Linked DNA regions of Canis lupus familiaris. The protein of the gene in region 1 interacts with the protein of each later gene in a pairwise test. Links are inferred from orthologs where the notes say so. Each region holds a gene or a part of one and is shown in the gene's direction. Other genes may lie near its edges.

Region 1 (3,717 bases):
GTCAGTTCAGCATTTGTGCAACAGTTTCTTACATACATTTACTACAAAAATAGTTCATGTCCACACAATGCACTAAAGCTCACTGATTATTTTTGACGATTTTTAAAAAGATTTATTTATTTATTTATTTGAGACACAGAGAGACAGAGTGAGAGAGAGAGCATGTAAGGAGCCTGATGTGAGACTCTATCCCGGGTCTCCAGGATCAGGCCCTGGGCTAAAGGCAGCGCTAAACCGCTGAGCCACCTGGGCTGCCCATTTTTGACAATTTTTGGCGATTTTAATGTTGTTTTAGTTGTCAGAACCAAGAAAGCCCCCACTTTGTGTTCCAGCACGTGAGCTACATTTTATCAACTATCTGAGTGCTTGCTGTGTACCACCCATTGAGGCCACAGGGTCAAGCAAAGCCAGGAGGGTCTGCCCCTCACGAGGTGCCTAGGTAGGATCACCTTGAGAAGCTAAGGGGGATCCCTGGGTGGCGCAGCGGTTTGGCGCCTGCCTTTGGCCCAGGGCGCGATCCTGGAGACCCAGGATCGAATCCCACATCAGGCTCCCGGTGCATGGAGCCTGCTTCTCCCTCTGCCTGTGTCTCTGCCTCTCTCTCTCTCTCTCTCTCTGTGACTATCATAAATAAATAAAAAAAAAAAAAAAAAAAAAGAGAAGCTAAGGAAGCCATAGGGGTTGGGTTGGAGAAAGGTAATGAAGGATGGCCAGCTGTCCTCGTGAGGGATGCTCACCTTCCAACAAGCCATTCCATGGAAAAGGCACATCAGAAGGTGGTCTCTTCCTTTTTTAAGTCATTTTCAGCATAGGTTTGGAGAAAGTAGTGTTCACCCTATATAATGGCTCTGAACATTCATAATTAATGGCATAAATACCAACTAAAAATCACATATAGAAATTCATAAATTGAATTGCCTTGAATTAGTGCAGTTGAATCTACTAGTAGCAAACTTTGGAAGGTACAATCATTCTTTCATTTTGCTATTTTGAAATACCGAGCAATCAAAAGGTGATAAAAACCTGAAGGTTGAAATCTTAAGTTTTCAGGTTTTTGTTTTTTTTTAAGATTTATTTATTTTACAGAGGGAGAGAGAATGTGAGGGACAGAGGGAGAGGGAGACTCTCCAGAAGACTCCCTCCTGAGCACGGAGCCCACTGTGGAGCTCGACCCCTCAACCCTGAGATCATGACCTGAGCCAAAATCCAGAGTCGGCCACTTAACCGACTGAGCCACACAGGCAGCCCACATTTTCCATTTTCTAAGGAGAATAGTTTTAGCCATTGGAAATAAGGCCAATTAGTAAAACCAAAACCAAAACTCAGAATTATCAAAATGTCTACCTTGGTAAAGATATTTGAAATACTGCTTATAATTATTCCAAATCCTCAAATAAAACTTGACTATATTAAACCATAACTCTTTTAGGAGCTCGGGAAAATTTACATAAAAATATGATGCTTCAAAACCAGCTCTTTGAAAGAAGAGACTAGATCATTTTATCTTTAGATCCTAAGTAGCTAATACAGAGCTTCAATATCGAATGAATATTTGCCATTTTTGTGTGGTCTTGCAGATTTGATGATCAGGTCTTTGTTTTACAGCTTTTGGCTGATGCCATCATTTATGCTCAAAAAAATCGTTCTCGGAAACTTTTCATCTGGCCCAGTGGACCCTATGATGGCTGATGCTATTGATTTTATGGTGGACAGGGTAAGGATTTTGGCATTAGAATGGGAACACTTTGTACTAGGAATCTCCATGTCTCCCTAGTTCTTGATGATAGATCTGTCTCGTTGAGTATGTTAGAGATGTTTGTTAAGCAGTCTTCCATATTTACTTTAATATACCCAACAGATGTTACTCCTGGGAAGTAATTCATCAGAATCACTTGGGAGGAGCTTTTAAAAATACAGATTCCGGGGGCACCTGGCTGGCTCAGTTCGTGGAACGTGTGACTCTTGATCTCAGGATCATGAGTTCAAGCCCCATGTTGGGCATGGAACCTACTTCAAAAAAAAAAAAAAAAAAATACAGATTCCAAGGCCTTGCCAGCCCACTGAACTGGAATCCATGGGCATAGGGTCTGGGAATTTGCATTTTTACTCTCTTCCTCCTCTCTTTCTCCCCCACAAGGGGAACCCAAAGTAGCAGGTCTACAGACTTGCATTTAGGGGCTATGGGGCTAGATGATTTTTCTGAGATCTCTTCCAGCTCCAAAATCTTGTAAAAGTGTTTATCTGTCACTTTGGGGCTTTGGGAAGTAGCCTGCTACCCACGGTTACCCGGTTGCAGAGGCAGTTCAGGGTGAGGGGTATGTAATGCTAGGTTCCCAGAATAGAACACCACCAGCTGGGAGGCCCAGTGCATGGTCTCTCAGATACATTGTATTTCCTCACTGGTGACCCGGCCCACCACACATGATGGCGCCTTTATAAGTGCAGGTATTATCTGTGGATTTAATATAACATGAGGAACAAATTTAATTCAAAAACTTTGCCTGTGTTTCTTCCTGCAGCTGGAAAGTTTGGGTCAGAGTGAACTGGCTTCAAGACTTACCCTGAATTGTCAAAATTCTTATGTGGAACCTCATAAGATTCGAGACATCCCTGTGACCATTATGGATGTAAGCTTCCTTTTAAAAAAAAATAGATGCTTTAGCTTTATAAATGTATATATCAAGAGCTTCCTCATAATTGTTTTATAATTTTTCAGTGTGCCTCTTTAAATGCTGCCTTGTGTTTGTTTTTTGTTTTTTTTTTTAACAACCACCACCACCACAGTTCTAAAACAATCAGTTTATTGCTTACCCCATATTTTCCCTGGCAGGAATAACACCATTGAAATCAGAATAAACATAAACAAACATGGTAATCCTTACCCATTTTGATGGATTTTTCTATTGTCATCACCAAATACTGTACTTTAGCTACTACACATCTGTGCAGCAAAAGTTGCCTCACAGAGGCAGAGAATCAAAAATTCCATAAAGTCTAATTAGCATGAAAGTTTGCTTCTTGTAACAAAACTTACCATTTTAACCATATTCAAGTGTACAGTTCAGAGGAGTTAAGTACATTTATGGTGTTGTGAAACTGTCACCACCATCCATTTCCAGAACTTTGCATCATCCCAAACTGAAAGTCTGTACCCATTAAACACTAGCTTGCCAGTCCCTCCTTCTCCCAGACCCTGGTAACCCACATTGTACTTTCTGCTCTATGTACTGACTATTCTGTGTATCTCATAGAAGTGGAATCACGTAATATTTGTACTTCTGTGTCTGGCTTATTTCACTTAGCAGAATATCTTCAAAGTTTATTCATGTTATAGCATGTATTAAAGGCTGAATAATATTCTGTTGTGTGTATATACCACATTTTATTTATCCATTCACCTGTTTTGTTTTTTTTTAAGATTTTATTTATTTATTCATGAGAGACACAGAGAGAGAGAGGCAGAGACACAGGCAGAAGGAGAAGCAGGCCCCATGCAGGGAGCCCGACATGGGACTTGATCCTGGGTCCCCAGGATCAGGCCCTGGGCCGAAGGTGGCGCTAAACCACTGAACCACCTGGCTGCCCCTGTCCATTCACCTGTTGATGAGCATTTGGGTTTTTCCACCTTTTGGCTCTTGTGAATCATGCTGCTCTGAATGTTGGTATACACATACCTGTTTGAGTACCTACTTTCACTTCTTTTGGGTCTATACCTAG
Region 2 (2,238 bases), on another chromosome or scaffold:
TGGCCCAGGGCGCGATCCTGGAGACCCAGGATCGAATCCCACGTCGGGCTCCCGGTGCATGGAGCCTGCTTCTCCCTCTGCCTGTGTCTCTGCCTCTCTCTCTCTCTCTCACTGTGTGCCTATCATAAAAAAAACAAAAACAAAAACAAAAACAAAAAAACCCCGAAACCTGCGGGAAGGACTTCCACACGCAGTGAGGAGCTCGGGGAGAAGCAGAAGTCCGTGCTTCTGTCCATGACGCCATCCTCCGCGGCCCCCTGGATGTGAGCCCGGCGACGGCGGGCGGCGGGGGCACATACCCCGCATGTCCCACGGTGCCTTTCTGGGAGCGTCCGGTGGGGGAGACGCTGGGGCCCCGGCCCCTCTGCCGCCCCGTGAACATTCTCTCTGCTGCGGACACGTCGCTGCGGTGGCCGAGGGTCAGGGACGCGCCGCGGGCCTCGGCTCATCGTAAGCGGCGGCGCAATTTGTCCTCTCTCGTAGGAGATCAAGGAGCAGGAGGTCGTGGACAAGGTCATGGAGACACTGGACAGTGACGGAGACGGCGAGTGCGACTTCCAGGAGTTCGTGGCCTTCGTGGCTATGGTCACCACCGCCTGCCACGAGTTCTTCGAGCACGAGTGAGGCGCAGCCGCGCAGGAAGCGGAGCGGGGCCGAGTCCCTGGCGCCGTGTAGCTGATTAGGAAGCTTGACGTGCTTTGTCGAGGAGACGCCGACCCCCTTTCCCGGGGCTGACCTCGGGGCCCCCATCCTCCGCTGACGGTCCGTGCGACGCGGTCACGATCCTCAGGAGGGTGTGTGCTCCGCCCGTGGTCAGGGCCGCGCACCCCCCCCCCCCAACAACGCAGCTGCCGGGACCCAAAGGATGGCTCTGGACGCACGTGGGTCCTTGTCCAAAGTACCAAGTTAGAGACGCAGCTTCGCCCCGTATCCTGTGAGAAGCCTGCCTTTTCCTAAAATGGGTTTGTCATCCGTGCGAAGGAAACCCAGGGTCGGGAGGTGGCCTGACACGCCTGCCGCCAGACGGCCAGGGCATGCTGTCCCCGGGTCCCCGCTGAGCCATGGGAGCTCAGCAAACAGGGCTACAGCACTGGGCGGGGGCAGGGGGGGCGGGTCTCCCGGCTGTCAGGGCCGACACCGCATTCTAACCACCTTCAGCGGGGCTCCTGTGCCCCGGGTCACACGTTGGTGCCGAGGCAGGAGCGCGGCTCCCAGCAGGGCGTCCACGCCCCTCCGCACACAGGTGTTCTGCAAACAGCCCCTCTGGCCTCCCCTCCTGTCTGGGAAGCGCAGGTGTCGTTCCTCACTTGCTTGTGCCGAGACAGGGTCTGCCCCGCAGCGGTTGGTGGAGCCCGAGTACGTGGGAAGCTCGACGTCACACATGGGTACCCACGAATCCAAACGTTCAAGTATTAAGTCACTTCCGGGAAAGTTCAGATTAACCTTTTCTGCCCCTTTCCCTGCTGCTTCTTTACGTGCACAGACCTGGAAACCCATAAGCCAATTGATCGCTTGTGTTTGCATCGAATAAAGAGAGCATTGTAACGGGTCCCCGTGGCCTTGAACAGGAGGCTGGAGGGAAACTGCTGCAAAGGGGGGGAAGCAGTAAGGGGCAGGCACAGGAGGCCCCCCAGAGCCAGGCGGGTGCACAGGGCCCGGGACCCTGGGATGTGCCGGGGCGGCAGGGAGTAGATGCGGCGGGGTGGGGGCAGGAGGGCCGGAGGGCAGGCCAGCACCGGGTGGGACACACCCTGGCCGAGGCTCCCACCCTGGACGCAGCGCTGGGGGGCAGGGGGGGCGGGGGGACTCGGAGACAATGGTGGCGGAAGCCAGCGCGCAGGGACCATGTGCAGGGACGGCCCATCCTGCACCCCTGGATCTGTGTCTACACCGCAGTCCCTGCCGGGCGATCCGCAGGCCTTCCTGCCGCAGAGGACGGGGGACAGGGCAGCTGGGATGCCGAGCAGGGTGCAGCGGGTGTGTGGCAGCCCGGGCGGGCCCTGCAGGGCTGGAGCCTGACGCCCCAGGGCCTCCGCCGCCAGGGCCCCTTGCTAAGGAGCAGGTCCCTGGAGGAGCCCTCACAGTAGAAACGCCCCGAATCCTGCCCCACGAGGCCAGGCGTGCACGCAGGGAGGGTGCCCCCTGCACACAAACACCCGCCAGGACCACGTTCCATGGCCGCCTGGCCTCCCAGGCCCGGGCCGACGGCAAGGCTGCTTCAAGAACTCAGCTGATCCT
Region 3 (4,296 bases), on another chromosome or scaffold:
GGACTGGCATTATTGGGAGAACCCGACTTTAGTGCTTCCCCAGGCTCAACGCCTATATCCTCCAAGTCAGGTCCTGGATCACAGAGTCGAGTCCTAAACTAGGGTCCCAGAAGTGGGCCTGCCACAGGCACTCCTTCCTCTGCTTCATTGACTTTGGGTGGATTAGTCTCCCCTCTGAGCCTCAGCTCCCTTTTCTATAAAATAAAGTTTTCAACTGAATGATGGGGGCGGGGTGTGGAGAGGTATCTTTTCCTTAAATCCCTGATGAAGTATGAGTGACATTAGATTATGTAAAGATACTCAACTAGAGGCCAAGATTCAGAGACCTCTTAACCCCCTGGAACTGTGTGCAAGATTGTATATGTGACATGTATGTACACGTGTGTGAACATTTCTATCTGAGCATGTTTTAGGAATAGATCTATTTATCTTTGTGAAGGAGGTCTGTGATCCCAGAAGAGTAGTCACCGACCTAGTTCAGACCTTTTTTTTTTTAAAAAAAAGATTTTATTTATTTATTCATGAGAGACAGAGAGAGGCAGAGGGAGAAGCAGGCTCCCTATGGGGAGCCTGATGGGGAATTTGATCTCAGGACACACACCCCCTCCCCCCACCCCCGCCATCACAACCTGAGCCAAAGGCAGATGCTTAACCACTGAGACACCCAGGTGCCCCTGGTTCAGACCTTCTATCTGAACTATAGATATAGTTCAGACTATATCAAGATCTGATATATATGGGCAGCCCCGGTGGCGCAGCGGTTTAGTGCTGCCTGCAGCTCAGGCAGGGCATGATCCTGGAGACCCTGGATCGAGTCCCACGTCAGGCTCTCTGCATGGAGCCTGCTTCTCCCTCTGCCTGTGTCTCTGCCTCTCCCTCTATGAATAAGTAAAATCTTTTTTAAAAAAAAGATTATATATATATATATATATGACTATAGCAAGAGCCTCCAAACTGGTCTCCCTACTCCTTTGTTCCTTAAACGTGTCCTCCACCTATCACACAGGGTATCATTCCTTTGTTTGAATCTTTCTTTTGGCCTTAGTGGCAAAAAGAAATGCATAGTATTTAAAGACATTCATAATCTTACCCAGCCTGGTCCCCACACTCATATCCTGACACACCCTAATCTATTTCCTCTGTCCTCAGCCCCTCTGTGTACCCTCCTGCCCTGGCTACAGGGAACGTTTCACTGCTTCCTGAATGCATCAAGCACTTTCACATCTCTCTTCCTTTGCAGGAGCTTCCCTGTACTTCATCTGGCAAACCCTCGTGTGTGCTTCAAAATCCAACTCAGGCGTCCCACCCCTTTGTGATGTCTCCCTGACACCTCCTCCAAATGAACCACACCCTCTGTGCTCCAACTCCTGTGCTTAAAGTCACATTTATCCCACTGTACTGTAATTATGTGTTTGAGTGTCTGTCTGCCCAAGCAGATATGAACTTCTCCCAGCAGAGAAACCAAGTTTCTGACTCACGTTTGGAGCCTCAGGACCCAGCACGGGGCATGGCACCACATGTGTACGGGTAATGACTATCTAAAATGAGTCAGTAAGTTAATGAAGGAGTAAGTCAGTGAGTGAACAGACCAAGAAGGAAGAATAGATACACCTGAACCGGTGCGCGTGGGATTGGGTCCCGCCCCGCCCCCAACACATGGAACTACATTTCCCAGAAGACCCCGCGACCTGGGCATGCGCACTGGAGAGCTAGGAAGCTGCGACGCCGAGTTTCACTCTGGCTGCCTCCTCAGAGTCGGAGCTTCAGCCGGAGCGGTGCCCAGGCCGGCCCGAGCTGCAGCCCCAGCGCGGCGGTGCCCTCACCCGGCCCCCTCGTCTTCCTCAGCCTCGGTGAGAGGGGCGGGCGGGCCACCTGCCCGTCGCCAGGGCTGGGGTCCCGGGGACGCGGGGGGGACTGAGCCGAACTGGGACCGGAAGGGGGCGGGCGTGGGACTGAGGGAGGGCCGGGCCGGGCCGGGGAAGAGCCCCGTGGTGAGGTCCGGGGGGACTGGGAGGACCCGCCGCGGGGCTGGCCCGGGGCCGCGGCCGCCGGAGGCGGGAGCTGGGAGAATCGGGCGCGCTGGCAGCTTTGGGACGGGTCTGGGTGCGAGGGTGAGCGCCGGGTGGGAGCCGAAGGGCTGGCAGGGGGAGGGGCGCAGACCCCGGGAGTTCGGGGCCGTGGCGAGGAGGACACCCCTTCCCACAGGGGCGGGCGGAGGCGCTGGAGATCCCGTCACTGGGCTCCGGGGCTCGCGGGGTCGATTCTCCTGGGTTCTGGCTTCGGGCGGACGACTTGCTGCAGCCCGGGGCTGTACTTTTTGAAAGAGTTTGCCCCCAAACTCTGCTTCCCTGCCTCAGGTAGGGGTCGCCCTCCGGGAAACTCCGGTTTCCTGGGGGCCCTGGGTTCCTTTTGAGGGTTGCGTAATGTACGTCGGAGAGGATTTAGACGACTTTTTTTTTATTTTTCTGAACCTGCCCTGTCGCCCACTCCGCTCCCCTCCCCTCCAACCAGCTGCTCCCTTCCACACTGGTTCCACTTCCCTAAGTGCCAGTAACAGTGGAAATAGTGTGTGCACGCACAGGCTCCCGGACCGTTAAGAATTAATTCAAGAATACTTCTGCCTGCTATCCTCTAGAGTTCTAGAAGGTCGACGTTGTGGTAGCCAAAATCGGGCTTTACCCTCACGGTAACTATAACTGGGCCTCTTACTCATTTGCTGCGTGACCTTGGCCAAACTTTTACCTTCTCTGGTGTGTTAATCTCCTGGATTCTTACACTGCAGACTGACTTAGGAAGCCCATTTAGGCCTTTCCGTGAAAGAGCTGAGGTGTGTGTGTGTGTGTGTTTCCACCATCCCCTTGATTATTGAGTGGGTAGAGGGAGACTGTTGTACCTTCTGTCCTGCCCAGGCTGTTGAAAAATAAATCTGGTGGTTTCCAGTCCCCGGCCGCAGCGCACAGACCCAACATCTGTGCATTCGTTTTCACTGACTGCTGTTTCTCAATTTAAAACCTGATCATCTTTTTCCTTGTTGGCAAAGGTGCCCTGGAATTTGTGTTGCTGAGTCAGCAAGGCTTTCCGATTTGCTCGGTTTTTGTTGTTTGCATTTTATATCAAGATGGGAACTCAAACAAGTCATTCCTCCTAAGGATCTAGTGTCTCTGTCAAGAAGGGACAGTTTGTGCCAGCTCTCCAGAGAGAAAAGGTAAGAGTGACAGGGACTTCACATTGCTGCCTTCTGGATCTGGTTTTCAGTAGAGGAGGTGGAGACTGGGGAGGGTGAAATTTGAGGTCTCCCGGATGAAAGTCAGCCTTGGGAGTTGATTGTTGATTGCCAACTGTCTCAAATAAAGTCAAGTGCTTTCTTGCCAAGGGCTTCTTCTGTTAAACCAGGCTTAGAGGATGCTTTACACATGGTTTTCACTTAAGACATGCTTTATGGGGTGAAGGACACAAGTCATGATTTCTGCATCTGAGCTGGAAATTTTATTTCTTTTGTTGCCCGCACAAAACTGGGTGCCTTCTTTGTGTCAAGCCCCATGCTCAATGGTGGGGCACAGTGATGAGTGAGAAGAGCTCTGTCACCTGGGAGCTCATCATTTGGTGGAATGGACTGTCCGTTCCTAGACAGACCCTAGACAGTGGCAAGGAGTTGTTGGTGTGCTATGTGTTGAGGTGGGAGGAATCACAGGGCAGAGCCCCAGCCCCTCGACCAGGGGCTGTCCAGGAAGGGATAGGAGGGAAGGGTCAGCAAGCTTCTAGAAGAACATAATTGAGCTGAGTTGTGAAGGACTTGAAAAGGAGAGCAGAAGCCTGGCAGAGGAGTGGGCATCTGCAGAGTCCAGAAGTTACCTGGTACGCATGGGCCAATGTAAGTAGCTCTATGTGGCTAGAGCAACAGGGATGGGTGTGAGGTGGAGGAGGCTGGTTAGGTAGGCAGAGGGAAAGTGTGGATGGTTTTGTGGGCCGCACTAAGGCTCTGGGAAGCAGGATTTTAGCAGAATTCCATGAGGGCATTTTACATGAGCACACTGGCTAGAAAGTATGAATGGATTAGACTGGATTATTCTCTTTGTGACTGTTTCTTTACACCATGCCAGCTTTTGATAGAGGAAGAGTTAGACATAGATGTTGCCCTCAGTTTCTTCATAGTCTCCTTGAAGAGATAGAATGGACATAGAGAACTGTAAAGGGCAGGCAAGTGCTGTGGAAGTTGAGAAGAGGGTGTTTTCTTTCAGTTGGGCATCTCGAGGCATCATGGAAGTACGTTTAAATTGGGTCTTGAAAGGAAGTCTG
Region 4 (4,412 bases), on another chromosome or scaffold:
ACCATGAGAAGCCTAGAGCAGGACTTGGGGCTGCCGGCACCTGGGCCAGGAAGAGACTGGGGTGGGGGTGGGGGGGCAGGAGGCAAGATCCCAACAAACTAGGAGGAACTCCACCCAGCAGCACCCAGAATGTGAGTGCCTGGTTTTGAGGGAGTACCAAAGGCTAGGAATCAGTTGTGGGTTGGGGGCTCTCAAGCTCAGGAGCTAACGGAGGAAGTGTGCTCCCAGGTCCGAGGGAACTGCCTAGACTCTCCCAAGGAATAAATCCTGGGAGGAGGGCCCCAAGGTTTGAGGATCCCTGAGACTGAGCAAAGGGGAGGGGAGGATTGTCTCAGGTCTGGGATAATTTGACGCGGGCCCAGCCAAGGGTAAGGTCCCGAGTCAGGAGAGACCAATGGAGAGTTCTTCAGGGTGTGGGAGGGACTGAAGGGAGGGCTGCTCTCCGGGCGACAGGTCCTGGGGAAGAAGGACTGAGGTCTGAGGGTGGCCAGTGACGGGGGTGGGGTGGGGTGGGGGCTTCCGGATCCCAGGCAGGCCGGTCACGGGCTTCGAGTCTGGGAGAGTGTTCAGGGTCTGCCAGGAGCTGCTCACGACAGGCTCCGGTGTGAGGGGCAGGTCAGGGTTGGGCTTGGAGAGTGTGAGACACCAGCTGGGCAGGTCCCGGGGGGTGAAGCGCCTGGTGCAGGAGGCCCGGCGGCGAGGGCCTGGTCCGCGGCTGCGGGCTCGAGGAGCCGGGGGCGGGCACGGCCCGTGAGCGCCGCGAGGAGGCCCTCGGGCCCCGGCCCGGCCCGGCCCGGCGCTCACCTGCAGCACCACCTCTACGTCGTACGAGTTCCCCTTGCTCTTCTGGTGGCCGCGGAACTTGGAGCCGCTGTAGAGCAGGCTGGTGGCCACGCCGGGCTGCTGGGTGTTGATGGGCGGCGGCGGGATGAGCGAGGCCGCGGAGGCGGCCGAGGCACCGGCCGGCGGGGGACACTCGGTGCGGACCGGCATCGCGGGGTCCCCCGGAGCCAGGGCTGGGGGGAGGGGGAGAGGAACCGCCGCCGCCGCCGCGCGGGAGCCGAGGGGGGTGGCAGGGAGGGAGGGGCCGGGGCGCGCACGCGCGGGGTGGGGGCGGAGGGGGACCACCCGCCCGCTGCCTGCGGACCAAGCGCTCCGGCTGCCACCGGGACCCCGGGACCTGCGAGCAGGGCCTCCCTGTCCTGAGCTGAGTCCCCCTCCCCACTTGCCCTCGCACACACACCACCCTTTGGATTGGCTCAGGCGCGCCGGGGGGGCGGGAACAGGCTCACGCGGCGCTTCCACCCATTGGCGGGCGGGGAAAACACGTGGCGGGGCGCGCGAGGGGCCCTCTGGGACTTGTAGTCTTCTTCCCGAGGCGCGGCGTGGAGGGGGCGGGGCGAGGTGCGTTTGTGATGCTGATTGACTGTGGGTGTGCGCTGGAGGCGCGCTGGAGCGACGGCGCGCCGCTGGTGTCATGCGGAAGATGGCGGCGTCCAGGGGGAGGCTGAGGGCTCTGGGGAGGTGGTGAGAGGTTTCCGTACAACCCCAGCGTGCGGCTTGGGGATCCCTTCGCTCTGTTTCCTGCTCTCGTCCCCCCAGGCTCTCAGGCGCGATGTGGAGGAGCTGCCTCCGGCTGCGAGACGCCGGGTGCCGCCTCCTGACCCAGCCCCGGGGTGCCCTCGCCGCCCCGGCGCCGCCGGGGCCAACCCCCCAGGCCCCTGCCCGGGCCTACGCGCCCCCAACAGGTGAGGGAGGCGAGGGCACATTCTCTTTCGCCCAGGGCTCGAGTGGGGCAAAGGTGGGCTGAGGGATTCCAGCTGTGCAGGGCGGGGTAACTGAGGCACAGCTCAGGCTCGTGAGGTAACGCGCTTTGATCGGGTCCTGCAACAGATCAGGGAAAATAGAAGCCCAGGCAAGGGCAGACCGACCCCCCGAGGGCACACAGCGCGTCACTGCACGACACAGTAATTGCCGTTTGGCACGTGCAGCCTTTCTTAAAGCTTATGGTTTTCCTTTCCAGCAAGGAAAGCGGATGGCATTCTCGTTTTCAGGCAGGGAGATTCGGGTTCTCCATCTGGACTACACCAAGGTCACAGAGCAGGCTCAGTGGGTAGTTTGTGGAGGGCAACGGTGGGCCTGTTTTCTCTGTCCCCACGGCTGGGCACAGAAGGGTCTTGGAACCGGGGCATTCAGTTTACCTCCTGGCCCATTTCCCTTCGGGTTTCCTGTCCCTCCCTCCCATTGCCCTACCACAATCCCTGCCGTTTCTGCTAAGGAGTTGACCCTCGTGCCTCCTTTCTCTTCTTCTGAGTGATAAGGCCTACAAGAAGGTGGTGACTCGTTCACTGCTTCTGGGGAGAGGTTTTAGAGTAAGAGTGGGAGTCGCTTCTTGAAATGAGTAAAGAGTAACAACACGCTTTTCATTTAGTTTTTCTGTGCTGAGAGCTGGAGGCATGATGGTCTTCAAGGCAGGTGTGGTCCCTACCTAATGATCATTGTCGAGTATAGGTTATAATAGTCTTTTTGAACAATAACGTATAATATTCAGTATAAAGGAATTACAAAGAATCTGTGAGAACATAAAGAAGCACCTACTCCCATCTGGGGGTTCCGAGGGTCTAGAAAGGGTCTTGGATGAAAGGACATTTCAGCTGAGCCTTGACAGATGAGTTGGAGTTCAGTTGAGAGGAGGAGGAAGAGTGTTGGGTGGCCAGAACAAGTTCAGAGGTGACAGCAGGGTGTGAGCGACCTTGCTTTAACATTGCTTGCTTTAGAAAATGTAGAATTCAAAAAAAAAAAGAAAAGAAAAGAAAATGTAGAATTCTACAGGTAGTTTGACATTGTGGCAGAAGTAGATCTATATGGTCTAATGCTGACTGACCCTCTGAGATACTGCGTGGTCCTGAGTACGTGACTACTTTCTTTGGGCCTCATTTTCCTCCCTGAGTTGAAGGACTGTGTTGCCTCTGAAGGTCCTTCTGTTAAGTTTCATAATTTTTTATACATGGGGGAGAGAGCTAGATGCAGCAGGAGCTGAGGTTTCACCTGTCAGGGTCCAAGCCAAAGGGCCAAGAAAGAGGAAGAAGGAAGGTCATGTGTGATATTGTTATAAGAAGACATATACAGTTGACTCTTCAACAACATAAGGGTAGAGGCACCACTCCCACCTCCCCACCATTGAAAATTCACATATAACTTTTGACTCCCCCAAAACTTAATTACTAATAACCTACTGCTGGGCCAGAAGGTTTACCAATAGCAGTTGACTAACGCATAAGTATTCTTACGTTGGCTAGATAAAAGAAAACGTAATTTAGAAAATTAGAATCTTTAGTAAGAGATCAAGAAGAAAAGGAAATAACGTTTGCTATACTCTAGAAAATTCAGGTATAAGCTGATCTTGGCGGTGCCAACCCGTGGTGTTCAAGGGTCAACTGTCTATATTTGGCGACCCGTCTAGTTCCTGGCACACATCTCTTAAAACCCTCATAATTTACTAACCAATAAGAGCTATGGAAGAGGCTTTTGTTATAATATTTGGCCTTTTGTCTTAAAATAACTCCAGAGATAGAAAGTTGAAAGTAGTGTCTTATTCATAAACCCCTTTCAGCCACACCTGAGATTATGTTAATGAGGTGGCTTTTGGAAAGCCCCTGAGGATGGGGGCTGGTTGCTAGGGGAACCAACCACAAGGTTAGAGGTTGGGTACTTTCAGCCCCACCCTCTGACCTCGGGGGAGGGGGAGAAGGGCTGGAGAGATGGATTAATGGCCTGTGATTTAATCAATCATGCTTATTATAATGAAGCCTCTGTAAGATCCCTGAACTGGGGGGGTTCAGAGAGCTTCAGGGTTAGTGAACACATGAAGGTGCTGGAAGAGTAGCATGCCCGGAGAGGCAGGGAAGCTCCATACCCTTTCCCTATACTTTGCCCTGCATTTCTTCATGTGGCTGTTCCTGAATTGTATCCTTTTATAATAAGCTTGTAGTCTACTAGGTAAAATCTCTTTCTGAGTTCTACGAGCTGCTCTGGCAAATTCATCAAACCTGAAGAGGGATCCAGGGAACCTCTGGTTCATAGCCCGTTGGTCAGAAGCACCGGAAACGACCTGGGCCTGCAGTTGGCATCTGAAGGGAGTGGGAAAATGCAGTCTTGTGGGACTGAGCCCTCCATTTGTGGATTCGATGCCTCCTCCAGGCAGATATTATCAGAACTTAATTGAATTGTAGGACACCCAGCTGATGTCACAGGGTTGATTGGTGGCAAAACCGCCACATATTTGGAGTGGAGAATGTCTGTGTGAATGTGTAAAGGAAAACAGTTTCCTTTACAACATTCCAAGAAGATACAACATGAGCAAAGGGGACATGTACAGGAGTTCACTTAAATTGGCACAGGCAGAGGGTTCA
Region 5 (4,320 bases), on another chromosome or scaffold:
TTAATTTTTCTGGACTCGTTCCCATGCACAGTAATGGGAGGCCTATGAGAAAGGGGAGTGTTTCCTTTCATTTTCTCTCTTCTCTCTCCTTCCTCTCCCCCTTTGATCCCACCTTAGGTACAGAATCTCCTCTGGGGCCTCCTCCTCCTTTCCTCTCTCATCCTCTTTGTGAGTGGGGTGGTGGTCTCTGAGCCAATGACAGGTCAGCCAAGAGGCTGACTCCAGACCAATGAGGCTTCCGGGTTCCAGATGGACCAATTAGCTTATTAGGGACATTATACCTGGATGGCTGGCATCTGTCCTATTGTCCTGTTTAACGACCCTCTTGTTTTGCCCATCAAGGATTTGGATGTGCAGATGAGACTCTACTCTCTTTTGTTTTTCTAAAATTTTGGTGGCTTTAATCCATCTCCACAACTTCTGCCCAAGGCCAATAAAACACAGGCATTCTCCCTTTGTAAAAAGAAAGAGGGGTTGGGTTTCCTTCAATTGTCTGCCCTTTTATGTGTCCTCCACTATTTTTGTTTTACTTGGTAGTTAACTTTGCACCGGAGCGGCTTCATCTGAGAACCAGTGCGGTGGACCTAGGCACTCTCTTGTCGTTGCTGGTGGCGATGGCCTTTTCCTTGTTCTAACCTGGTGGCTTGTGCGATCAGAGGGTTGGCGGGTGGGAAAAGAGTTTGGCCATAGTCTTCCTTCTGCATTTCGTACACATTCTGCGCTCTCTCTCTCTCTCTGTCTTTCGCTCACACACACATACACACACGCGCTCGCACACACACGCCCGCTCGAGCCCCTCGGTGTGTCTTCCTTCAAGATGACAGGGCGCTGGAGAAAAAGCTGCTGGAATCAGCTGGTAGGTACCGTAGTAACCCGAACCCCACCCACCCGCTGCCTTGGCTTGCTCAGGTTTCTCCGGTCACTCCAGCCAGGGGAGAAAACCTGTAAACGCGCCTCCACAGGAGGGGCTGGGGGAGCTGGGAGCGGCGGGGGTGGAGGAAGGTGAGACCGGGAAGGTGGTCAAGCGCCCCTGGTACCCGGGGCCCTTCGCAGTGTTACCTCGGGGCGCCAGCCCCAGCCCTGTTTGCCCCCCACCCCCCTTTTCGTAGGGATTGCCTTTTTTTTTTTTTTTTCCTCTGCGGCGGCGGAAATGACAGTGTGGTGCTGCCGTGGTGTCATGGTGCTGCCCCTGGACGAAAGGGCTAAAACTCTTTAAGTTCGTCTCTGGAGACCCAGCTGCGGTAGCGTCGCGGCTGCCGTGCTGTCTCTCGCGGGGCGCGCGGGCGGGCGGATCCCGGCTGCTGCGCGGCGGCGGCGGCGGCGGCGAAGGCGGGCGGCGGCCTAGAGAGGCGGCGGCGGCCCGGGAGCTCGCGCCGGAGCCCGAGCCAGCTCCCAGCGGAGGCAGGCGAGCGCCCGGCGCCCTCGGGCGCGCCAAGGAGATGGCTGGCACCCGGGAACGCTATGGGTAAAACGCGCCCCCTCGCCACGGCCCCGAGAGCCGAGGGGCACCGCCCGCACTCGGCTCGACCCGGGCTCCGGTTCCGGCCGCCTCTCAGGTGCCATTGGGGCCCGGCACGGGGCCCAGGGCCCCGGGGCTCGGCGGGGCGGCGTGACGGGGCACCGCGAGGCTCGAGGTGGCGGTGTCGGCGGTGGGGGCCCCGGCCTGGCCTGGGTGCCCGTCGCTGCCCTCTTGGGACGGAGTTTGCACTCCGGGGTGTGGGGCGGGGGCGGCCCGAGGCCTCCAGCGCCCCGACTCGCCTGGCGCGGGCAGTCGAGCGGCTGCCCCGGTGCCTGTGCGTGAGTCTGGGAAAGGGCACCGCCGCCTTCCCACGCTCCCGCGGCCGATAGCCTTCTTGACACGGGCGGCGCCCCTCGACCGGCCCTCCACGCGGCAGTGGCTGCTGCAGCAGCCAGGGATGCTGCGGACACCCTGCCGGCGGGGAGGCCAGATGAAACTTACTCCCTTTTCTGCCAGGGGAGCGATTCCCGGGTCTCCGTCTGGGTGGTTCCTTATTTCTGGCCTAGCCTTGAAACCAGCTCAGTGGGAGAGAGGGAAAACTTCTCTATGTCCAGAGGACAGACTGCGACCGTACCGGGGAGAGGTAGGGTTTTTCCATTCCTGCCTCTTAAGAATGGAGTAAATAACGGCGGACTAGATTTACAGAAACAGTTTCGGTAATGATGAGCTTTAGGCCACTTAGCACTTTGTGTGTAGCACATTATTTCTTGGAGGCGTTTTGTGGTTTTGTGGTTGTGTGTGTGTGTGTGTCTGTTTGTTGTTGTTTGATTGTTTTTTTTTTCTTTTTTTTTCTTTATTGGTTCTCCCTCCCACCCAAACCCCACAGAGCAGGAAATTGGGATCCTGGGGTCTTGAGTTTTCTTCACTTTCTCTCTTCCATGCTCCCTTACCCTTCTTCGCAATCACTTGCCCTCTTCCTGCGTTGTCACACACCTACCTGCCCACCCAGGTCTCCCAGCAGAACGCACCGTCCCCCCCAGACTAACCCCCACCAACCTGCGTGCGTGCTCCACCTGCCTCCCAGCCCTCCAGCCTCTTGCTCCTCAACCAATTTGCCTTTTTGAGGATTTCTGAGTGTGGGGTAGGTGCATGGTGATGGTTGTGTGCCTGTGAGGAGGAGCCCTGATACAGGAATATAGTGGAAACTGTATAAAAAGACCAGTCATGTATGTGGTTGATTCCTTGGATTCTCTAGTTGGGCGGCAAGGGCTGCCTTGAACCCTATTCTGTTCCCTCCCAATGCTCTCTAATCACTTCTCTGGTGATGTTCCAATAGAAGGGAAATGCTGAATAATAGGGAGCTTCTCTCTCCTCCTTCTGGCTTGACTCTAGCTGATTACCCCAACCCTCACATGCCCCCTTTTCTCCCCTCTGCAATCCTACTGACTGCCCTAAGGGAGAAACAGTCTGCTATTTTTATATATGCCTGCCCAATCAATTACCTTAATATAGATACATAATGTGAACGAGATTTTTCCTGGTCGTTCCTCACAACTGGATTTCTGTGGTTGAAATATGGGTCTAGGAGTCAGGAAGATCAGAGAGTTTATCCCAAATCTGACATCACATTGGTTTTATGGCCCTAGGACATTCCTATGACCTTTCTTTTATACTTGGTGTACTTGTGTAAAAGGCATAATACTGTATACTGGGCATTTTGAGGCTCTGCTTGGTCTTTTGAAGATGAAAGGGTTCTATAAACTCTCAGCATTACGCTTTTCAAATAAAGCGCTTCATTTACCTTTTTATGGGGATAATAGCTGGACTGGGTGTGAGGAGGAACTCTGGTTTACTGGAAACCCTAACTTACCATCCTTAGCCACCCTCCACCCCAGGAGCCAAATCTATCACCATACTCAGGACTCTGTTGTTTGTTGTTCCTAAAGCATGTACAACTGAATGAAAACATGCATAAAACTAGGCATACGGAGTAATGGTGATTATTTTAAGTTGAAGCTTGAATCATATCTAATGTACTCCAACCTAACAGTCTGAGTCAGACTCATTTGCAAACATAACCTCACCCATTTTTAGCCTGTATGGGGGCAGTTAATTTCTACTGAAAAGCGGCATAAATAATTTTAGGCCTGGCAATAGGAGCATGATTAGCATCTAGCAGCAGTGAGTCAACAATATTTACTGAGCACCTACAGTGTGCAGAGTTCTCTGCTGATGGGGCCAAGTTCCAGGTCTTGGCCTTCATATTTGGCCTCCTCATTTGAGGCCTCCTTCCTTACCTGCAGCACCCGGAGTAGGACAGGGAGGAGCAAGACAGGGGTAGAGGCTAGGGAAAACAAAGGGCTGATTGGCTCCCTCTTTCATGACCACTAGATCTCACCTGGCACGTTGTACCTTGCACGGTCACCCTGGGAAGCCCTGCTACAGGCCCCAGTGACTTAGTTTCCTCATGACTCTATCATCTGAACAGCGCAAATTGAGATGAAATTGGTTTAGTTAATCCCTCCTCGGAGTGCATGGCAACTTGCTCCAACTTGCAGATCTTAAATCGGTGCCAGGGGAGTCTCATAATTGCATCCAAAAATTGCTCTGGGTAGTGAGCCCATCCATTCCCTCATCCTTCCATAAAATCTGCTGATGCCATGACAGTTGAGAAGGAAACTGCAGGAAGACTAGGTCTTTCCCACTCAGCAGACCTCGTTGGCTTGGTAGAAGAGGAGAGAATGTCCTCTTTTCACTCTCTCTATCAGGACTCAGGTTCTCTCTTTCCCAGCAGAGTCCCAGACCCCTAAAAAGAGGTGAGGGCAGGGCTGAGGTACAGGATGTGTTTGGAATGGCTGTTT

The links.
Region 2: the proteins of SPG21 (region 1) and S100B interact in binary tests that used the Homo sapiens proteins (3 or more experiments, as listed by UniProt). The two-hybrid records come from large-scale screens. The link is inferred for Canis lupus familiaris from reciprocal best matches to the Homo sapiens genes SPG21 and S100B.
Region 3: the proteins of SPG21 (region 1) and DTX2 interact in binary tests that used the Homo sapiens proteins (3 or more experiments, as listed by UniProt). The two-hybrid records come from large-scale screens. The link is inferred for Canis lupus familiaris from reciprocal best matches to the Homo sapiens genes SPG21 and DTX2.
Region 4: the proteins of SPG21 (region 1) and ATPAF2 interact in binary tests that used the Homo sapiens proteins (3 or more experiments, as listed by UniProt). The two-hybrid records come from large-scale screens. The link is inferred for Canis lupus familiaris from reciprocal best matches to the Homo sapiens genes SPG21 and ATPAF2.
Region 5: the proteins of SPG21 (region 1) and MID2 interact in binary tests that used the Homo sapiens proteins (3 or more experiments, as listed by UniProt). The two-hybrid records come from large-scale screens. The link is inferred for Canis lupus familiaris from reciprocal best matches to the Homo sapiens genes SPG21 and MID2.

The regions. Positions count from the first base shown.
Region 1 is NC_049251.1:29,783,826-29,787,542, reverse strand, and holds part of SPG21 (maspardin), read left to right. Parts: intron 1-1,605; coding exon 1,606-1,714; intron 1,715-2,519; coding exon 2,520-2,627; intron 2,628-3,717. UniProt on the Homo sapiens protein: May play a role as a negative regulatory factor in CD4-dependent T-cell activation.
Region 2 is NC_049252.1:39,767,373-39,769,610, reverse strand, and holds the end of S100B (protein S100-B), read left to right. Parts: intron 1-483; coding exon 484-624; 3' UTR 625-1,570; downstream 1,571-2,238. UniProt on the Homo sapiens protein: Small zinc- and- and calcium-binding protein that is highly expressed in astrocytes and constitutes one of the most abundant soluble proteins in brain.
Region 3 is NC_049227.1:7,519,486-7,523,781, forward strand, and holds the start of DTX2 (probable E3 ubiquitin-protein ligase DTX2), read left to right. Parts: upstream 1-1,370; 5' UTR 1,371-1,850; intron 1,851-1,992; exon of another isoform or gene 1,993-2,111; intron 2,112-3,040; exon of another isoform or gene 3,041-3,205; intron 3,206-4,296. UniProt on the Homo sapiens protein: Regulator of Notch signaling, a signaling pathway involved in cell-cell communications that regulates a broad spectrum of cell-fate determinations.
Region 4 is NC_049226.1:41,692,632-41,697,043, forward strand, and holds the start of ATPAF2 (ATP synthase mitochondrial F1 complex assembly factor 2), read left to right. Parts: upstream 1-1,479; 5' UTR 1,480-1,615; coding exon 1,616-1,748; intron 1,749-4,412. UniProt on the Homo sapiens protein: Plays a role in the assembly of the F1 component of the mitochondrial ATP synthase (ATPase).
Region 5 is NC_049260.1:81,966,888-81,971,207, forward strand, and holds the start of MID2 (probable E3 ubiquitin-protein ligase MID2), read left to right. Parts: upstream 1-1,340; 5' UTR 1,341-1,461; coding exon 1,462-1,465; exon of another isoform or gene 1,466-1,556; intron 1,557-2,080; exon of another isoform or gene 2,081-2,102; intron 2,103-4,320. UniProt on the Homo sapiens protein: E3 ubiquitin ligase that plays a role in microtubule stabilization. Mediates the 'Lys-48'-linked polyubiquitination of LRRK2 to drive its localization to microtubules and its proteasomal degradation in neurons.